2 linked regions of the Arabidopsis thaliana genome follow. The protein of the gene in region 1 interacts with the protein of each later gene in a pairwise test. Each region holds a gene or a part of one and is shown on either strand. Other genes may lie near its edges.

Region 1 (8,107 bases):
CATTGAAGCATGGAGGTGTGCATAGGAAAGGTGAAGAGAGGGAAGTGTATGGAAATGAAACAGATGATTCGGAATGGGAAACAGCGAGTGAGAGTGATATAGGAGATGATGGAAGGGATCATATGGGACTTGATGATGAGGAGGAGGAGGAGGAAGATGAAGGTCACGGTGAGAAGTGGAAGAACCGGGATAAATCGAGTGAGAAAAATGAGAAAACTTCTGCCAAAGGTGAGATTCTTGCATGATTATGATCAACACATTGTTGTCTTGATTTCAAATTAGTTAATGGTTTATTGGTGACACAATCTATGAATTTGTTCAGGTATGAGGCATGGATACAGCATAAAGCTTGCAGAAGATGAAATATGAAACCTTGAAACACAACAAGGTCGTTACAAGAAGTTGAAGAACAGAGAAGACGTTGAATGGGTTTGAGTCTTTTTTACAAGCAAGAAACTTGCTTCATGGATATCGTAAGTTTTCTTTTACTTTTTTTTTTTTTTTTCGTTTCTTTATTTAGTTTTGTGTGATTGTAGGATTTGTGGTAAAATTTTATCCATTTTGAAGGAGTAAAGAAGAAAGGAACAATTGTTTTGTTTTTTCAGTGATTTTATTTATTTTTATTTTGTGGTGTATTTATTCAGAGACAAAGAGGAGTTCCAATTTGTAAAAAAATATTTTTTCCTTATATTAAGAAATGATTTGTGATTGAGAGAGATATTTTTTTTTGGGGGTCAATGATTGGCCGAGATTGTAGATTAAAAAACATTTTAAATGGATATTCGCACGTTAGCTAATACAGTAATAAAAAATTTGTACAAAGATAGAGAATTTTTGTGGGTCTTAGCTTATTGGATTGCGATATTGTAAAGTAAAAGTTTTGAAAAATGGAAGATCTGCATTTAGTCCACCGAGGATCATATGCATAGTCGATATTGACACAAGAGTGAAATTTGATTGGAGGAAAGAGGATATGTACCAAGCCACTATTTACCTTTTTTTTACGTCAGGCTCTTGAGATGATCTTCTTAGTTTTGATGTCTTTTTGCAAATTGCAGTGACGTTTTCTAAATTGGTACACTAAGTTTAAAAATGCTGTCCTTTGGATAACTCCAACGGATGATATGAACTAAAACAATGCTGTCCTTTCATATTATGTAAGAAAACACTCACTCGGTTAACTATGAGCAACCCACTACAAGTAAGTATTGTAAAAACGTTTTTTTCTTTCAAATTCCAAGTATTTTTTAAATTTTGTAATAGAAAATAATGATTTGGGTTTTGTAAGTTAGTATTAGGATTTAGATTTTTTTAAATAGTAACGAAAGTGTTTGATAAAAAAGTAAATAGTAACGAAAGTAACCTAAATTGACATTTCCATTACCCTTGAGATGATCAAAATAAACACAATTTCTGCATGATTATGAGTTTATGACTATGCTTATTAGCAATGATTTGTTCTTTCTATAATTTAAAACCAGTTGAAACTAAAATTGTTTTTGTAAAATTTAATAGATGATATTATTAGTATACAAAACTTTTGTCAACAATGAATTGTGTGATAAGAGTTTTTTTGGAGATTTTCTTATGTAATAAAGTCTATCTTGTATGACTACAATTGATCATGGGATTCGTGGCTAATATTTTTTGTAATTATATCTTTTGAGTCAAATTCCATACTCATTTTAATATATGCAATCGAATGTATCTACTAATAATTTGTTCTTATTTAATTTGATTCTGTTGACTCTGTTCCAAAACAACTTTCGGCTATTGGATGTGTCCACGCGAAATGTAATATAATAATGATCAAGTCTTCAAAATGGCACACCTTAATTTCTTTTTGCAAATTATAAAAATTCTTTATATGGTGATCCTACGTATCTATCTAATTATCTCCCAAAACTATGGGCAAGAGTCATTATTAAAATCGACCCTTGGTCTTTTGAGATGCTCAAGAGTTTTAATTTCTAAAATATTAAGCCTTCACTAACATGATTAGAAAAAAATAAAAAGTTAAAAACATGATTAGAAATTTAGAATATTTTAATAAGTACAATGTGGAAATCTAGTGTAAACTTTCCTCGAACATTCCCCATAGATTTATATAAATAGCTAGTGAGAATTTGTTCATGCACATATTCATCACAAAGGAACTCACTGCTCTTAAATTTGCTCTAATTGTTATTACCTTGGTAAATAATATATTCTTGGTTCGATTCGAAATTTTCAAGCAAATGGGTATCGTTGAAAACATTCGTTCCCTTAAATTTGAAGTGAAAATCGTGGAAGCTAGAAACGTAGAGCTCAAGTCATCGCCAACCACTCTCTTCGTTAGGTTCTATCTCCATGCAGGGAATAACAGTAAGATTGAACTAAACACTCCAGAGATCCGTTCGAGATCAGACTGTGAGGTCATTTCCTGGAACCAATCATTCGGTCTGGAGTGCCAAGGGAACGAAACCGCGGTCGAGGAATTGAAGCAACAAAGTGTTGTTTTCGAACTACGGAGAAGGAAAACGACGCCGTTTTTGAAGAAGTGGTCGAAATCAGAGTTGGTGGGTAGAGGAAAGATTTTTTGGAAATCGGTTATAGAGACTGATGGGATGGAAATAGAGAGATTTGTAGTGATGGATGAGACAAAAGATCACGTTCTGGAAGATTGTGATAAGCATAAACCTCTTTTGTTGAAGATAGCTTTAAAAGTGCAAGCTTCAAAAATCGTGAACACTAAGAGAGTGGAAGATCTTTGTGAGTGTAAAGATTGTAGAACATGTAACTGCGTAGATTATGAAGCTTTTGTTGTAGCTTGTGCGTTAGCTGGGATTTAGTTTGTAAGAATAAAATTTAAAGAAGAGATGATTCAAAGAAACCAGAATAAGTTGTTGCAGTAAAATGTAAAAACTAAGGACCAAAGTTCAAAGAAAATGAAAAACAAATAACAACTGTCTTATAAAAGACTATGAAACGATGATGTTGTTTCAAGCATGGTCATGTCCAAGAAGGGCGAGAAGCATATCCTTGTAGTCACCAGAAGTGTCATTAGCAATGGCTCGATCAAGAGGAACACTGTTCCTGCGTAAGTATTCTTCTTTGATCCGCTCCAGGTCGACCTCTGCTCTTGTAGTGACCACTCTAGTAAGTGCCCACTCGTCTGTTCCCATCCTGTTGATGGCTCGACGTAGAACCTTCTCAAAGTACTTCTCTGGATATGTCAAGCATTTGATCGCGGTTTTGAGTAATTGAACATAATCATCGTTCGAATCTTCTTTGAGAAACTTGTTAATGGAACTTCCAAACTTGTCCTTGAAGTGATTGAGTGTTGCATTGATCTGTGCTTTGCTCCTTGTTGTCAAGATTCTGATGAGATCTTCATCAGTGTAAGCCTTCTCAGTGATCTTCTTGTGAAGTGTCTTAGCTTCGGATCTAGCCAGCTTCACGTTGACCTCATCAGCATTTCCATCGTACCTGAAGGTGCTCACAAGAGGAACCAATAGCTGCATTTTTACAAGTGGTCAAAACAAAACAACATATCATCAGAAACTTACTAATTGGTTTAAAGAATGATATACATAAATCTTTCACTACCTTTCGGATATTTCCAGATGTATGGTATGCAACATCTTCCTCGAGAGAGGTCTTGTAGCGAACATGGTATGCTTGCTTGGTCTTGAAAAACTCAAGAGAAGGTCTAGTACAAGCGATTTCAACTAGGACCCAAATGTTTTTGGTGAACAATTTGGTAGATTCATTGGCCAAATACGCATCTCTCTCCGTTGGATCAAGAGTCCACAACATCACAACTCTCTGTTTTCAAGCAAAGTAAGATGTTCAAAATAAGATGAAGAAATATAGATTTTGTATCTTTTAGTTTTGACAAACCTCAAAGTCACCAGAAAGCTCTCCGTCTAATTCCTTGAGAAGATCCTTATTGTAGTTAGCAGCATAAACGGCACGAATGAAACTGCGTTGCGTTGCGTTTCTATGAGCCAAAATTGATATGATCATCCCTTCATTAGTTCCCCATCCTGCGCCACACAAAAACAAATTTCAAACCCAAGTTTAGTCAGATAGAGAGTATGTAACAAAACCTAACTAAACCAAACCAAAATTTTACGACAGTTAGAAATTAACTGTAAATATACAAGAAAGCTGATGTTCGCTAGTAGAAAAAAAACCAAGCTTGAAAAAATCTTAGAAGATTATTAGAATTTTTTTTTTGGGTTTAAATCTGAATAAAAAAATTGTTACGAAAGCAACAAGTTAATCTGTTTAAAAGAGTTGTCTAATCGTCGATTACAAACCAAACGGTCAGGAAACGCTCCAACATAAAATCAATTGCATCCAAAATCAGCAAAAGAGTAAATAATATGTCACACAATTTTGCACCGTAACAAAAGAATCATGCAATGGAGTATAACCACAAAACTTCACGAAGTTAAGACTTCCTAAGAATCATTTGAAAAACGAAATAAAAAAGAGCTAACTTATCATCCACTTCTTAAAATTAAACCTATATACGTGTCATCAACCAAACCAGCAAGCTAGATCAGTAGATCAGACCTGTCATGATAATAGATTGAACTATTGATAATCAACCCAATTAAATAATATCAAAATGCAAATGATTCAATCAAAGCATGAATGTGAAGGCCTAGTATTTAACTTTTACTAAATCAATCTAACAATGAAGGGATGGATCATGAAAACCTTTGAATGCCTTGTGGAGCTGCTCGGAGTCTTCTTCGGGAAGAGGAATATTTGCTGGAATTTTGAGAGACGCCATTCTCCGACCACTGAATATTTCTCTAGCTCTCTAGATGAGACGAAGAAAATGTGGGACGAGGAACATGCACACTGTCTTAAATAATGAAATGATATCCCAATTTTTTATATTTTATTAATTATTTTTGTTAAAAATTAGATTTAGCAATCTATGTAAATCAGTAAAAGAGGAAAAAATTATTAATACAGGCTGTCTACAGTGGATAGAATTGATAAAACAAGTATAATGTTTTGCATTTTTTTGTCATAAAGCTGAATATTAAATGGAAATTGCACATTTTCTTAAATAATGAACTGAAATCTCAAATTTTGTTAATTATTAATCAATTTTGTTTTAAAATAGACTTAACAATTTAAGTAAATTAGTAAAATGAGAGATTTTATTAATACAATTACAGGCTGTATACAGTGAACAGAAATGAAAAAACAAGAATCATGTTTTGGGTTTTTGTCATAAAGCTGGATTTTAAATGCACTTTAAACAGCTTAAATATGGGATTACATAGGTACCGAAATTTAACTTTTAATTTATTTATTTTTTCTGTTATATAATACACGCATATTCCTTAATTAATTTCATTATTTGGATATTTCATTATTTGGACATGGATTATAACACATGGCGGACAAAACATTAGAACCAATATTGTTCATTTTAACAAGATGTATTAAGTATGGGTTTAGCTTTAATTTTAAAACCATATAATTAAGGGGAAAATTATAACTCATTAGTTTATACTAAATTAATTATAAATAGATCAATAATAATTTTTGATATGGTTTTATAATTTTTAGATTTAAAAAAAAAAATAACTGAAAACATCGACGACAAATGAAACTGAAGACACTAAATTCTTAACATGACCAAGTTGCAAGTCCAACCACAACTGTTTTATTAAACACAAAGCGATAAAATTTAGTTTTTTTTCTTAAACAAAACTTGCAAATGTTATTTCAAGCATGGTCATGTCCGAGAAGAGCGAGAAGTATATCCTCATAGTCACCATGAGTGTCTTTAGCAATGGCTCGATCAAGAGGAACACTGTTTCTACGTATATATTCCTCTTTGATCCGTTCCATGTCAAACTCTGCTCGTGTAGTGACCACTCTCGTTAGTCCCCACTCATCTGTTCCCAATTTGTTGATGGCTTGACGTAGAACTTTCTCAAAATACTTCTCTGGATATGTCAAGCATTTGATCACGGCTTTGAGCAATTGAATGTATTCGTTTTCCGAATCCTCCTTTAGGTATTTGCTCATGGAAGTTCCGAAATTGTTTTTGTAGTGATTGAGAGTTGCGCTGATTTGTGCTTTGCTCCTGGTTGTCAAGATTCTTATGAGATCATCATCAGCATAAGCCTTTTCCTTGATCTTCTCGTGAAGTATCTTAGCCTCGGACCTAGCTAACGTCATGTTCACTTCATCTCCATCGTACCTAAAAGTGCTCACAAGAGGTACCAAGAGCTGCATAAACAAAAACATATGTCACAAATTTATATGCATTCTTGACATAGTTATACGAACTGAGTTTGTTAGCTAGGAATCTTAATTACATCAATAAACATATGAGATTTCATCTAGTATACAAAATAGATGAACTAGATACATTTGATTTTATTGGATATCTCAGATGGAATTAAGCTCATGAAACTTTCACATAATTAATTATATAATACCTTTCGAATGTCTCCAGATGTGTGGTATGCGACGTCTTCCTCGAGGGAGGTCTTGTAGCGGGCTTGGTATGCTTGCTTGGCATTAAAGAGTTCAAGAGCAGATCTAGTACAAGCGATTTCGACAAGAACCCAATTGTTTTTGGTGAACATTTTGGTAGATTCTTTTGCCAAATAAGCATCTCTCTCCGCTGGTTCAAAAGTCCACAACATCACAGCTCGCTGTTTTGTTTACAAAAAAAGAAAACATAGTTAAACAGATCAGTAGACTAAAACCAAAAGAAGACGAATATATAAAGATGTTGTCTCAAATTAAAACCTCAAAGTCACCGGAAAGCTCTCTGTCTAATTCCTTGAGAAGATCCTTATTGTAGTTAGCAGCATAAACGGCACGAATGAAACTACGTTGCGTTGCATTTCTGTGAGCCAAGATTGATATGATCATCCTCTCATTGGTTCCCCATCCTGCATTAGACAAATTCACAATTACATTAAAGAAAAATAGAGTCAGAATCATGTTTGAAATCATTCATCAGTATTAGATTGAAAAAGATATATAATTCTAGTAAAATTTATCTCGTTTCATCAATTTTTGAAAGGTCTATTAAATACTAATAGATTATTTTTGATGATAGGAGTAATTTTAACCAAATTAAATAAATCCATACCATAAACCAAACTAGATCTATATACTATATAGATCAACGAATATATACAGACACATGATCGATCAGATAAGAGGGTATAGTTGAAATAGATTACGCTATGACCAACCAAACTGATAGAGGATTCAATCGAAGAAGGCGAATGCTAGACTAGTTATAACCAAAAGATTAATGAAGGGGTATAGAGAAGGACATAAACCTTTAAAGGCTTTGTAGAGTTGCTCAGCGTCTTCTTCGGGAAGAGGAACAGTGGCGGGAACTTTGAGAGAAGCCATTTTTCGAACAAGTGAAATTTCTGTATGTTCTTGTTTTTTGTTGTCTAGATGATGAGGTAGATAGAGCTCGTGTTGTCTTACTTAAATAATGAGATGGCAATTAAAGTTTCAATAAAAAAGTTTTTGTATAAAGATGTATTTTGATAAAGAGACTTAGTAATTTTTAATGAATTAAATGAATGGAAAAGGTAGTAAATCAACTGAAAATATTATTGAATAGTAAATTTGTTGACTATATAAGTGAAGTATTAAAAGCCTATCTATTTTAGTTAAAAGGAAAGAAATCAAGATAGCTGGCAGAAAATGAATTTAATTAAGTTGAATAAATTTCAAGGGAAGTATTTATATATATAGAGTGGGACAGAAACTTATGATTTTGATTGTGAATGACACGTTTGAGTTTGGCCTTGACATATGAAGAGTATACACAACTTTTTTTTTTTTTACTTTTATAATTATGTTTAGTGGATATCTATGATTTATATTTATTAACATAATATTGTTGTTTTAATTTTTTTTTTGGAAAAAAACTTTGATTAGATTTTTTTAAAAATTTGATTACTCAATAATTAATTATTTTAAGCTATATATTAAATAGACCTTTAAAGGTCCATGTGACAAGTTTATAATTATAGGAATTTTCCGGAGACAAAACAAGATTTTCATTGCTTATGTCATTTGTTCTTGTTTAACTCCAAGAATCACGTGG
Region 2 (10,336 bases), on another chromosome or scaffold:
TCACCACCACGACAAAAAAATAAAAAAACGGCGTAGTTTCGGTTACTTCGTCGTCGTCTTCCTCATTTCGCCGGAAGAATTATCCGCCATGGGAGACGATAAGAAAGATCAGAAGCAGCTTTCTTCATACTTGAAAGCTAAAAACTTTTCATGTGATTCACATTTTTCATTTTATTGGCTAATGTCGAGGCTAATCTTCTTAATTCTCGCCATTCTCTTCTCTCTTCAATTCGTTTTCTACCCTTTAAATTTCATCTCCTCTTCTTCTCAACCTCTGATCAAATTCTCTGTTTCACCCGTCGTATCCGGATCCGGGTCGGTTCATGAACCGGACCAAACCGAACTCAAGCACGTCGTTTTCGGAATCGCCGCCTCTGCGAAATTCTGGAAACACCGTAAAGACTACGTGAAGCTCTGGTGGAAACCAAACGGTGAAATGAACGGCGTCGTTTGGTTAGACCAACACATTAACCAAAACGACAACGTTTCGAAAACATTACCTCCGATCAGAATCTCCTCCGACACGTCTAGGTTTCAGTACAGATACCCAAAGGGTCTCCGATCGGCGATCAGAATCACGAGAATCGTCTCGGAGACGGTGAGGCTGTTGAACGGAACAGAGTTGGAGAAAAACGTGAGGTGGATTGTGATGGGAGACGACGACACTGTGTTTTTCCCGGAGAATCTTGTCAAGGTTTTGAGAAAGTACGATCACAATCAGTTTTATTACATCGGAAGCTCGTCGGAGAGTCATATACAGAATCTCAAGTTCTCTTACGGGATGGCTTATGGAGGAGGAGGGTTCGCGATTAGCTATCCGTTGGCTAAAGCATTAGAGAAAATGCAAGATCGTTGTATTCAGAGATATTCGGAATTGTACGGCTCCGATGATCGGATTCATGCTTGTATGTCGGAACTCGGTGTTCCTTTGACTAAGGAAGTTGGCTTCCATCAGGTTAGTCCTCTGTTTTTATTTTATTTTCCTTCAATTAAATTTAATTTCCATTTGAAGATTTTTCCTACATTGTCCTTTTTTTGGGTGAAAACTTAAGTTTTATTTCAGTTTTCATAGAGTGTTTTTATTTTAATGTTTGAAGGGTCAAGATCTTAGCTAGGTTTTGTTTAGGAAACAGAATAACTTAAAAATGCATTTATTATTATTTTAGGCAAAGTCTTTAATCAAACTTCCATATTTTTCATTAACTCACTCATATCTTCTAGTAGATACCAAATGCAAAAGCCATTACAAATCATTTATTTTATTAGTGCATTCTGATTTTTTGTTTTTTTTTGTTTTATTAAGACTTATGTATATAACACATCATAATAAAACTGAAAACATTTATGTAATTTTAGTAAAATGTATATTTTGTATGGCGATAATCTCGGCACTCACATAGATCTTAGGTTCACATAAGTCATTGGGATTGTACACTCAAGTCAAATATGTCGTTAGTAGTTTTCGTACGTGTTACTCTTACATTCCTCCGTGCATTCACATTATTCAGTTTGTTATTCCTATGATAGATCTAGGAACACATCCTAACCGAAATCTAAACATAAATCAAACTATTAAGTATCCAATATACATCGATTTTTGAAATCTGTGTCCCCCACTATTTTCTCGATCTATACCTATCGCTTATTAGAAAATCATCCTCGACAATTATTGTTTTGATTTTGTGTTGTTGTATCAGATTGATTTATACGGGAAACTTCTGGGCCTATTATCGGCCCATCCACTGGCTCCTCTAGTATCGATCCACCATTTAGACTTAGTGGATCCAGTATTCCCAAACATGGGCCGAGTCAACGCCATGAGACGTTTCATGGTCCCCGCAAAACTCGACTCACCGAGCCTCGCGCAGCAATCAATCTGCTACGACGCGGACCACCGATGGACCGTGTCTGTCTCGTGGGGATACACAGTCCAGATCATACGTGGCGTGTTGTCAGCTAGAGAGATGGTGATCCCCACGCGCACGTTCATCGATTGGTACAAACAGGCAGACGAAAGAAGCTATGCTTTTAACACGCGTCCTATCGCCAAAAGCGCGTGTCAGCGTCCGCGAGTGTATTACCTGTCCAACGCGCTTCCTGACTTGGCTTTGCGTAGAACTGCTAGTGAATACGTGAGATGGTACGACATGTGGGAGCCTGAATGTGACTGGGATATGTCGGATCCTTCGGAATTTGAACGGGTCATTGTTTATAAGAAACCCGACCCGGATAGATGGAATAAACATAGGGTAAGTAAACAATGTTATCATTTTTAAGTTTTGTTTCTCTATAAGTTTTATTGATTCATAATTTTGTGGTGATAATTTCAGGCTCCGAGAAGAGATTGTTGTAGAGTATTGCCCACGACGAAGAATGGGACTATGGTAATCGATGTAGGAGCTTGTAAAGATGATGAATTTGCTGAATTCCTTGTCAAATAGAATTATTTATCTTTTATAGCGTTTTCTTGTTACCAATCGTATTTTTGAAATTTCGAGCTTATGTTTTAACAGCAATTTCGAGCTTGTAAATTATTTCTTAAAACTTTTTTTAATCTTTATTGACCTCTAGGAGGACTATTATTAATGAGTTTATTATAGCCGAAAGATGTTTTGGGGTAGTGGGCTTAGCCCATTAATATATTGACGATTTAAAATGTAAATATATTCGATGCTAAAAGGACCGAATGTACATTATCGAATAAAACAAAAAAAAAAATATAAACATGTAAAGTCAAAACTTAAGTGTGATGAATGTAATGATGATGAGGAAGAAAGAAGATGAATGGGAATGGGCCTGATTCATCTTTTCCTCGTTGGCTTTAAAATTGACATATTTTGTTGACACGCGTGAGATTTCGTAGACGGAGGCGACACTGACACACATAAGCCGACATCTGACACGTGTATTTTACACACGTACGTAATACGGTCACGAACCGGCGAACCTACCAAAACCGAACACGAACCAGATTCCTTACAACCATCCAATTTGGGAGGTCTCATATCTTCTTCAACCCGTACGTCGTCGCTTTTTCTTTGTCTTAGAGCAAGCGTTTTAATTATTATTGCGTCATTAATAGGAATATATTTTGTATGACTCTTGTTGCTAATGTTAGGGAATTTTATTGGCTTGAATTTGATATTGAATAATGATTTTATTTTATTTATATAAAACAATATGTTGTTTGTTTAATGATATCTAAATTTAATATGTTAGCGTTACTCAATATTTTATTTAATTTTATATGGTTTTTTACACGGATTTTAATTCATCTTTGATTGAAATTTTAACAAATGTCAATCAGTTTTCAAACTAATAATGCAAAAGCTTAAATGTGAAAGTAATTTTTTTTTTGGACAAATGCTTTAAATATTATAGGTAAATTCTATATGTTTGATTTTAAAGTTAATAAATTCTATATTCAAAAAAAAAATCCTTATAAATTATAAAGTACACCACCAATAACCTCTTTAAGTTAACTATTATAGTATTATGTTTAGAATGTAGTTGGACATGTTTTATCCGATTAATACCAATTAGAATAGTTAATTATCAAGTACACGCTATGAGCCTATGAGCAAGAGAAGGCAGCATGGTCCTTGGCCTCTTTCTCAAGTCAAAATGTATTTTAATAATCATACATGCTGTAAACTTCAAATTCCTACTTTTTCAGAGTAAACAAAAAAAAATCAGAAATCGTAAACATATCCCCATCCCTGAATACTTAACCGTTTGACATTGAGAGTACACGTACAGGAATATCTAGATTGATTAGGTATATATAATATTTTGTATTAATAATTTAAAAAAAAAAGTAATTATCATTACCAGAACTAGCTAGTTGACATCTCACTACTTATGAGTATTTTCTAAACGCAAAAGATTATGTTAGGTGAGTTACGTGAGTAGTGCGCAGTAATGCAATTTGGTTAACGCTGTTCAATACAAATTTGAAACTAGTTGAATCCAGCAAAAAAAAAAAAAAAATTGGCTTCCAAAATATTGTTACCATAAATTCATAAACTTTCGTTAAACTTAAAGTGATTTATACACATAGTATATTCAAATATCGATAAATGTATTTTGCTAATCAAATCGTATATTCTTTTATACCAGTTTTTTAACGTCATCTCGCCAAAACAACAACAAATAGATGTAAAATAATGAAAGAAAACAAAAAACAAGATCCATGGGGAAGAGTCACATGCATGGAGCATGCAACTAGCTTACTTCATCCAATTCCCACTCAAAATTCTCTCTTTATATATACACTTTCTCTACCACTACTTCCCTCAAAACAAGCTAACTCGATCCTTCTCACTAAAGCGATCGTACCGATCTTAATATCTTTAGCGAGCGAGAGAGAGAGAGATAGAAATCCTGAGAGGAAAGAGAGGATGGAGATCGAAAAAAGCAATAACGGTGGTTCGAACCCATCTGCAGGAGAAGAATTTAAGGATATGATTAAGGGAGTGACTAAGTTCTTGATGATGGTGATTTTCCTTGGAACCATCATGCTTTGGATCATGATGCCAACACTAACCTATCGAACCAAGTGGTTGCCACATCTGCGTATCAAGTTTGGAACATCCACTTATTTTGGTGCCACAGGTAACTGAATGATCAATAATTCCCATTTTTTAACTGAATCATAAATCATGTTGACGCAATAGTTTCCAAATTTTAACGCATCTTTTTTTCATCAGCCCACGCAATTTGATTTAAAATAAAATACTAAAATTCATTTTTCTTGGTTTGCACGGCAGGGACGACGCTTTTCATGTATATGTTCCCAATGATGGTCGTAGCTTGTTTGGGATGTGTCTATCTTCACTTCAAGAATCGAAAGTCGCCACACCATATCGATAGGTACAAATTAATCAGTCAACTTTTAGGTATATAAACTGCATCACTTTCTTTGATTACAACTTGTTGCTCTTAATCGGAAAAAGGGAGACGAAGGGAGGAGTGTGGAGTAAACTAAGAAAGCCAATGTTAGTGAAGGGGCCATTAGGAATAGTCTCAGTGACTGAGATCACCTTCTTGGCGATGTTTGTGGCTCTTCTTCTCTGGTGCTTTATCACTTATTTGCGCAATAGCTTCGCCACTATCACTCCTAAATCAGCTGCCGCACATGACGAATCTTTGTAAGCTTTTCTTTTTCTTCTTTCGCCGTCTAAAATATATAATTAGTCCACTAATTTCGCTTTGTTAGTCGAAATTATGGATCAGGTTCATATACTTCAAGATTAATTAATCAGTCCATCAACAGTAGATTCTGTGCTTGATTTCTTTTTAAAATCTCCTGACAAATTATTAATAAAAAGGAACAATTTTCTTTGTAAAATACTTAACATAGTTAATCGGTTGATCACATATGAATTAAGGTGGCAAGCGAAGCTGGAATCAGCGGCGCTAAGGTTAGGACTGATCGGAAACATATGTTTGGCGTTCTTGTTCTTACCGGTGGCTCGTGGGTCATCGTTGCTACCGGCAATGGGATTAACCTCGGAGTCAAGCATCAAATACCATATATGGCTCGGCCACATGGTCATGGCCCTTTTCACCGTTCATGGTCTTTGTTACATAATTTACTGGGCCTCAATGCATGAAATCTCCCAGGTATTATTTTTGTTTTTTGTTTTATCGAAGATTTTAAAGCGGTACGTATATTATATGTGGCCTAAAATAGTCCACTAGTGGGCCCTATGAAAAAGTCAACGACTTTAAAGTAGTCACTCTGAATGGAGCAGCTTCCATACCAAGGAATGCGGTCAAATTTATCATTTTGGGTCTTCGTATGGCATACAAGTGTAGTGTAGATATCGCTATTAATTTTGTTGCACCGAAAAGAAAATTATCGAATCACGCATTTTAAGGTGGTAATTATTTGGATAAATGTTCCTTTTCTCTTTTAAAAAATCGTGTACTCCAAAATTGACGACTCGTACTCCAATAAATTATTTAATGTGATAGCTTCATACTAGGGGTACAAGAATCGTAATTTAAACGGTATAGTATATTATAATCTGACGTGGAATAAATTAATGGCAGATGATCATGTGGGATACGAAAGGTGTCTCAAATTTGGCCGGAGAGATAGCTCTGGCGGCCGGACTTGTGATGTGGGCCACCACATATCCGAAGATAAGGAGAAGATTCTTCGAAGTCTTCTTCTACACTCACTATCTCTACATCGTCTTCATGCTCTTCTTTGTCCTCCACGTCGGCATAAGTTTCTCCTTCATCGCTCTCCCTGGTTTCTACATCTTCTTAGTCGATCGTTTCCTTCGGTTTCTTCAGTCACGTGAAAATGTTCGCTTGCTCGCTGCTCGGATTCTTCCTTCCGACACTATGGAGCTCACTTTCTCCAAAAACTCTAGTGAGTACCTTTTGTCCAATTGGCTAATTGTATATGAAAAGTTCACCCTTACTGGATATTGATCTAATTCTAAACTATTCTTTTTGTTTTATAGAGTTGGTTTATAGCCCGACGAGCATAATGTTTGTGAACATACCGAGCATTTCAAAGCTGCAATGGCATCCGTTTACGATAACTTCCAGTAGCAAACTCGAACCAGAGAAGCTAAGTATTGTTATCAAGAAAGAAGGCAAATGGTCAACTAAGCTTCACCAGAGGCTTTCTTCTTCTGATCAGATCGACCGACTTGCTGTTTCTGTAGAAGGTCCTTACGGCCCTGCTTCCGCCGATTTCTTAAGGTGATTTGTTTATATACACTTTCTCAATCACCTATCTAATAACTTTATATTCAGATTTGTTAAGAGTCCTGGAAACTTGATTGACTTGCATTTCAAGAAACATTGATTTCATACTTTTTTTTTTTTTTGCTTTCTAGGCATGAAGCTTTGGTTATGGTGTGCGGAGGAAGCGGGATAACTCCGTTTATCTCTGTTATTCGTGATTTGATCGCCACAAGCCAAAAGGAAACATGCAAAATCCCAAAAATAACTCTCATTTGTGCGTTTAAGAAGTCTTCAGAGATCTCCATGCTCGATCTTGTCTTGCCATTATCCGGTCTTGAGACTGAACTATCCTCCGACATTAACATCAAAATCGAAGCCTTCATAACCCGAGATAATGATGCAGGAGATGAAGCAAAAGCTGGGAAAATCAAAACTCTCTGGTTCAAACCAAGTCTTTCAGACCAATCCATCTCATCAATCCTCGGACCAAACTCATGGCTTTGGCTCGGTGCAATTCTCGCATCTTCGTTCTTGATCTTCATGATAATTATTGGTATCATCACTAGGTATTACATTTACCCGATCGACCACAACACCAACAAGATCTATTCTTTGACTTCAAAAACCATCATATATATCTTGGTCATCTCCGTGAGCATAATGGCGACTTGTAGTGCGGCTATGTTGTGGAACAAGAAGAAGTATGGTAAAGTTGAAAGTAAACAGGTCCAAAACGTCGACCGTCCATCTCCAACATCTTCTCCTACCTCATCATGGGGTTACAATTCCTTGAGAGAAATCGAAAGTACGCCACAAGAATCGCTCGTGCAACGCACCAATCTGCATTTTGGAGAAAGACCTAATCTCAAGAGTAATATATACATGACCTTCTTTTAATTTCTCTATCTCTATCTTATATATAAGGAATTGTTATTCTAATTATGTTTTTTGTTGGTTTATATGAGCAGAACTTCTACTTGATGTGGAAGGTTCGAGTGTGGGAGTTCTTGTTTGTGGTCCTAAGAAGATGAGACAAAAGGTTGCGGAAATATGTTCCTCTGGTTTGGCTGAGAATCTTCATTTTGAATCTATCAGTTTCAGCTGGTGATTGCGTATATAACTCTGTTTTCACTATGTGTTGTGCAATTTGCTTGAGTTGCAAGTTAATAAGGTGGCCCTGTGATTTGACCTATCTTTGTGTGCTTTACATTGACTTTTCCTGTTTTTTGTTTTTCTTTATCCTCTTCTAGGAATATTCAGTGTTAAAAAAAAAACTTCCTTTCAAAAGTTCCGGAATATCCTTTTTTTGTTTGTAACACAAGGCATACAGCTTTTGTAAATTGTAAATGTTGAAATATAATACTCATGTTGGGTCATATATATGATTTTATCTCTATTTTTCAGTTAAACATACTTACGAAAAAGTCAATTTGCTCGAAACGAGTTGGGTTATACACAGATGTGAGCTACATGTAAATTAATATTTGGATCTATCAGAATTTATCTGTCAAATACAGAAATACTATCTTGCAGATAGCACAAATTACCTAATTGTTGGTTAAAAAGACAAGAAGAAGTTACGTGAACATAAAAAAAAAAAACCGTTTCAATTGACATGTCACTAATTATTCGATTTAAGTAAGAGGAAGTACAAGAACAAATTAAAGAACTCACCTATATATACATCCGTTTATTTAAAATCTGTGTTATTGTGTAACTCTGCTACAATTTAGTGGGTAACTAACAAAAAATATCATGGTTAAATTTGGTGTTCTGAGGAAATTTAATGTAAAATTCATAAATTTACGTGTGATTTTTTGATAATTGATTATTCAAAACTCAGTACAAGGAATAAAATCGAAAAAGAAAAAAAAACGAAAAGATAATAGAAATATACGTCTACACGCATCGGCGTACAAACTCAATGATTCTGCTTTCCGTTGAATTTGCTAATTTTAAGCCCAAAACTATAGAATTGCGTTTTCAATGTGAAATGAGGAAATTACACACTTTACCTAGACTCTTCCACGAGTCAAGCCTGTTTTGTAAGTCAGCAGTAAAATGAAGCTGTAAATCACAAATTAATTATAAAAAGATTCAATTATAATTTCTCTGGATAATATTATTATTTTAAAATAATAATAAAATAATTTCTTATTGGTTTATTCACCAGACCATATTTTCATATAAATTTAATTATTATTTTAAGAAAATAATATTATGCATAGAAAAATGACTTAAATATCATTTCTTTTATATAAGAGTATATTATTTTATATATATACTCTATATCTTTAAACATCTCAAGTTCTCAACATATTTAATTATTGGATCTTTTCTGCATTTAGCATAAAACTACTAATTACATTGGTGTAATTAGCATATATATATGCTGGAAAAAAATATCTTTCTATATATATGCTGGAAACAAATATAGCACATATATATGGGTTTTGTAAAATTCATTGCAAACTCCATTTCGCTTTGTTTTTTCTTCTCATTTCTTGGAAGTTCATCTCTGGTGCCATGGGAGTAGGAGAAATGAATAAGGAAGTGATTGATAAGGTGATTAAGTTCTTGATGATGGTGATTTTGATGGGGACTATAGTGATCTGGATTATGATGCCAACTTCTACCTACAAGGAAATCTGGTTAACCTCTATGCGTGCCAAGCTCGGCAAATCGATATACTATGGGAGACCAGGTAATTTCACTCGATACAGATCTAAAATTATTTATACGAATCCGTTACATATAATGGTTTTCTTATATTATAGGAGTGAATCTTTTGGTTTACATGTTCCCGATGATTCTACTGGCTTTTCTGGGATGTATCTACCTTCACTTGAAGAAATCAACAACTGTTAATCAATTTAACAGGTAATTAAAAGCTAACGACTGCTCACTCTTTAGTTAACAGCTTTTAGTTTTTTTTGTTAATATAGATTCTTTTTATTAGTTTATTTTATTTTCATTTTTTTGTAAAATTTAAAGCGGAGTGGAGAAGAAGAGAGCCAAGTTTGGTGCATTGAGAAGACCAATGTTAGTGAACGGACCGTTAGGAATAGTGACAGTAACTGAGGTTATGTTCTTGACGATGTTCATGGCTCTTCTTCTTTGGAGCTTAGCTAATTACATGTACAGGACGTTTGTCAACGTCACTTCTGAATCAGCAGCAACTGACGGAAATAACCTGTAAGTTTTAATTTATATAATGAGTTTTGTGCATGAACATAATTATTTTGTACGTATATGTAAATTCTTCATATTTAGTGATCAATCTAGATTCAATCCTATTTGCAGGGAATATTTTCTTTCCTGATAATATTGTGAGATATATGATGAAAATAAGAGTATAAATGAACTTTTCTATTTTTCACTGATATAATGATGCATCTTAAATTTATTGGGAAATTCTCATAAATTAATTTTTTCTTATAAGTTTTTTTAATTGATTGACCCATAATTTTCATAATCACTCATATCATATCTTTAACAATATGTCCTTTTTATAAACAACTTTTGCAAAATGACATTGACATGTACCATTAGTTAAGCTATGTGACAAAACAAGTTTGGCTTTTTGTGTTTGTTTTATGGCAAAACTAAAAAAGATGGCAAGCGAGGC

What was found.
Region 2: the proteins of ANN6 (region 1) and FRO2 interact in a protein complementation assay, tested with the Arabidopsis thaliana proteins (one large-scale study listed by BioGRID).

The regions. Positions count from the first base shown.
Region 1 is NC_003076.8:3,203,999-3,212,105, forward strand, and holds ANN6 (annexin 6), read right to left. Parts: upstream 4,833-8,107; 5' UTR 4,787-4,832; coding exon 4,711-4,786; intron 4,029-4,710; coding exon 3,883-4,028; intron 3,808-3,882; coding exon 3,589-3,807; intron 3,498-3,588; coding exon 2,982-3,497; 3' UTR 2,870-2,981; downstream 1-2,869. Other genes in the region: AT5G10200 (ARM-repeat/Tetratricopeptide repeat (TPR)-like protein), read left to right, coding at 1-228, 323-369; AT5G10210 (nitric oxide synthase-interacting protein), read left to right, coding at 2,238-2,831; ANNAT7 (annexin 7), read right to left, coding at 5,740-6,249, 6,462-6,680, 6,778-6,923, 7,323-7,398.
Region 2 is NC_003070.9:204,995-215,330, forward strand, and holds FRO2 (ferric reduction oxidase 2), read left to right. Parts: upstream 1-4,000; 5' UTR 4,001-4,166; coding exon 4,167-4,614; intron 4,615-4,769; coding exon 4,770-4,872; intron 4,873-4,955; coding exon 4,956-5,150; intron 5,151-5,390; coding exon 5,391-5,625; intron 5,626-6,057; coding exon 6,058-6,385; intron 6,386-6,479; coding exon 6,480-6,723; intron 6,724-6,860; coding exon 6,861-7,579; intron 7,580-7,676; coding exon 7,677-7,816; 3' UTR 7,817-8,088; downstream 8,089-10,336. Other genes in the region: AT1G01570 (transferring glycosyl group transferase (DUF604)), read left to right, coding at 89-955, 1,698-2,249, 2,331-2,441; FRO1 (ferric reduction oxidase 1), read left to right, coding at 9,235-9,412, 9,486-9,588, 9,703-9,903, 10,323-10,336. UniProt on the Arabidopsis thaliana protein: Flavocytochrome that transfers electrons across the plasma membrane to reduce ferric iron chelates to form soluble ferrous iron in the rhizosphere. May be involved in the delivery of iron to developing pollen grains. Also acts as a copper-chelate reductase.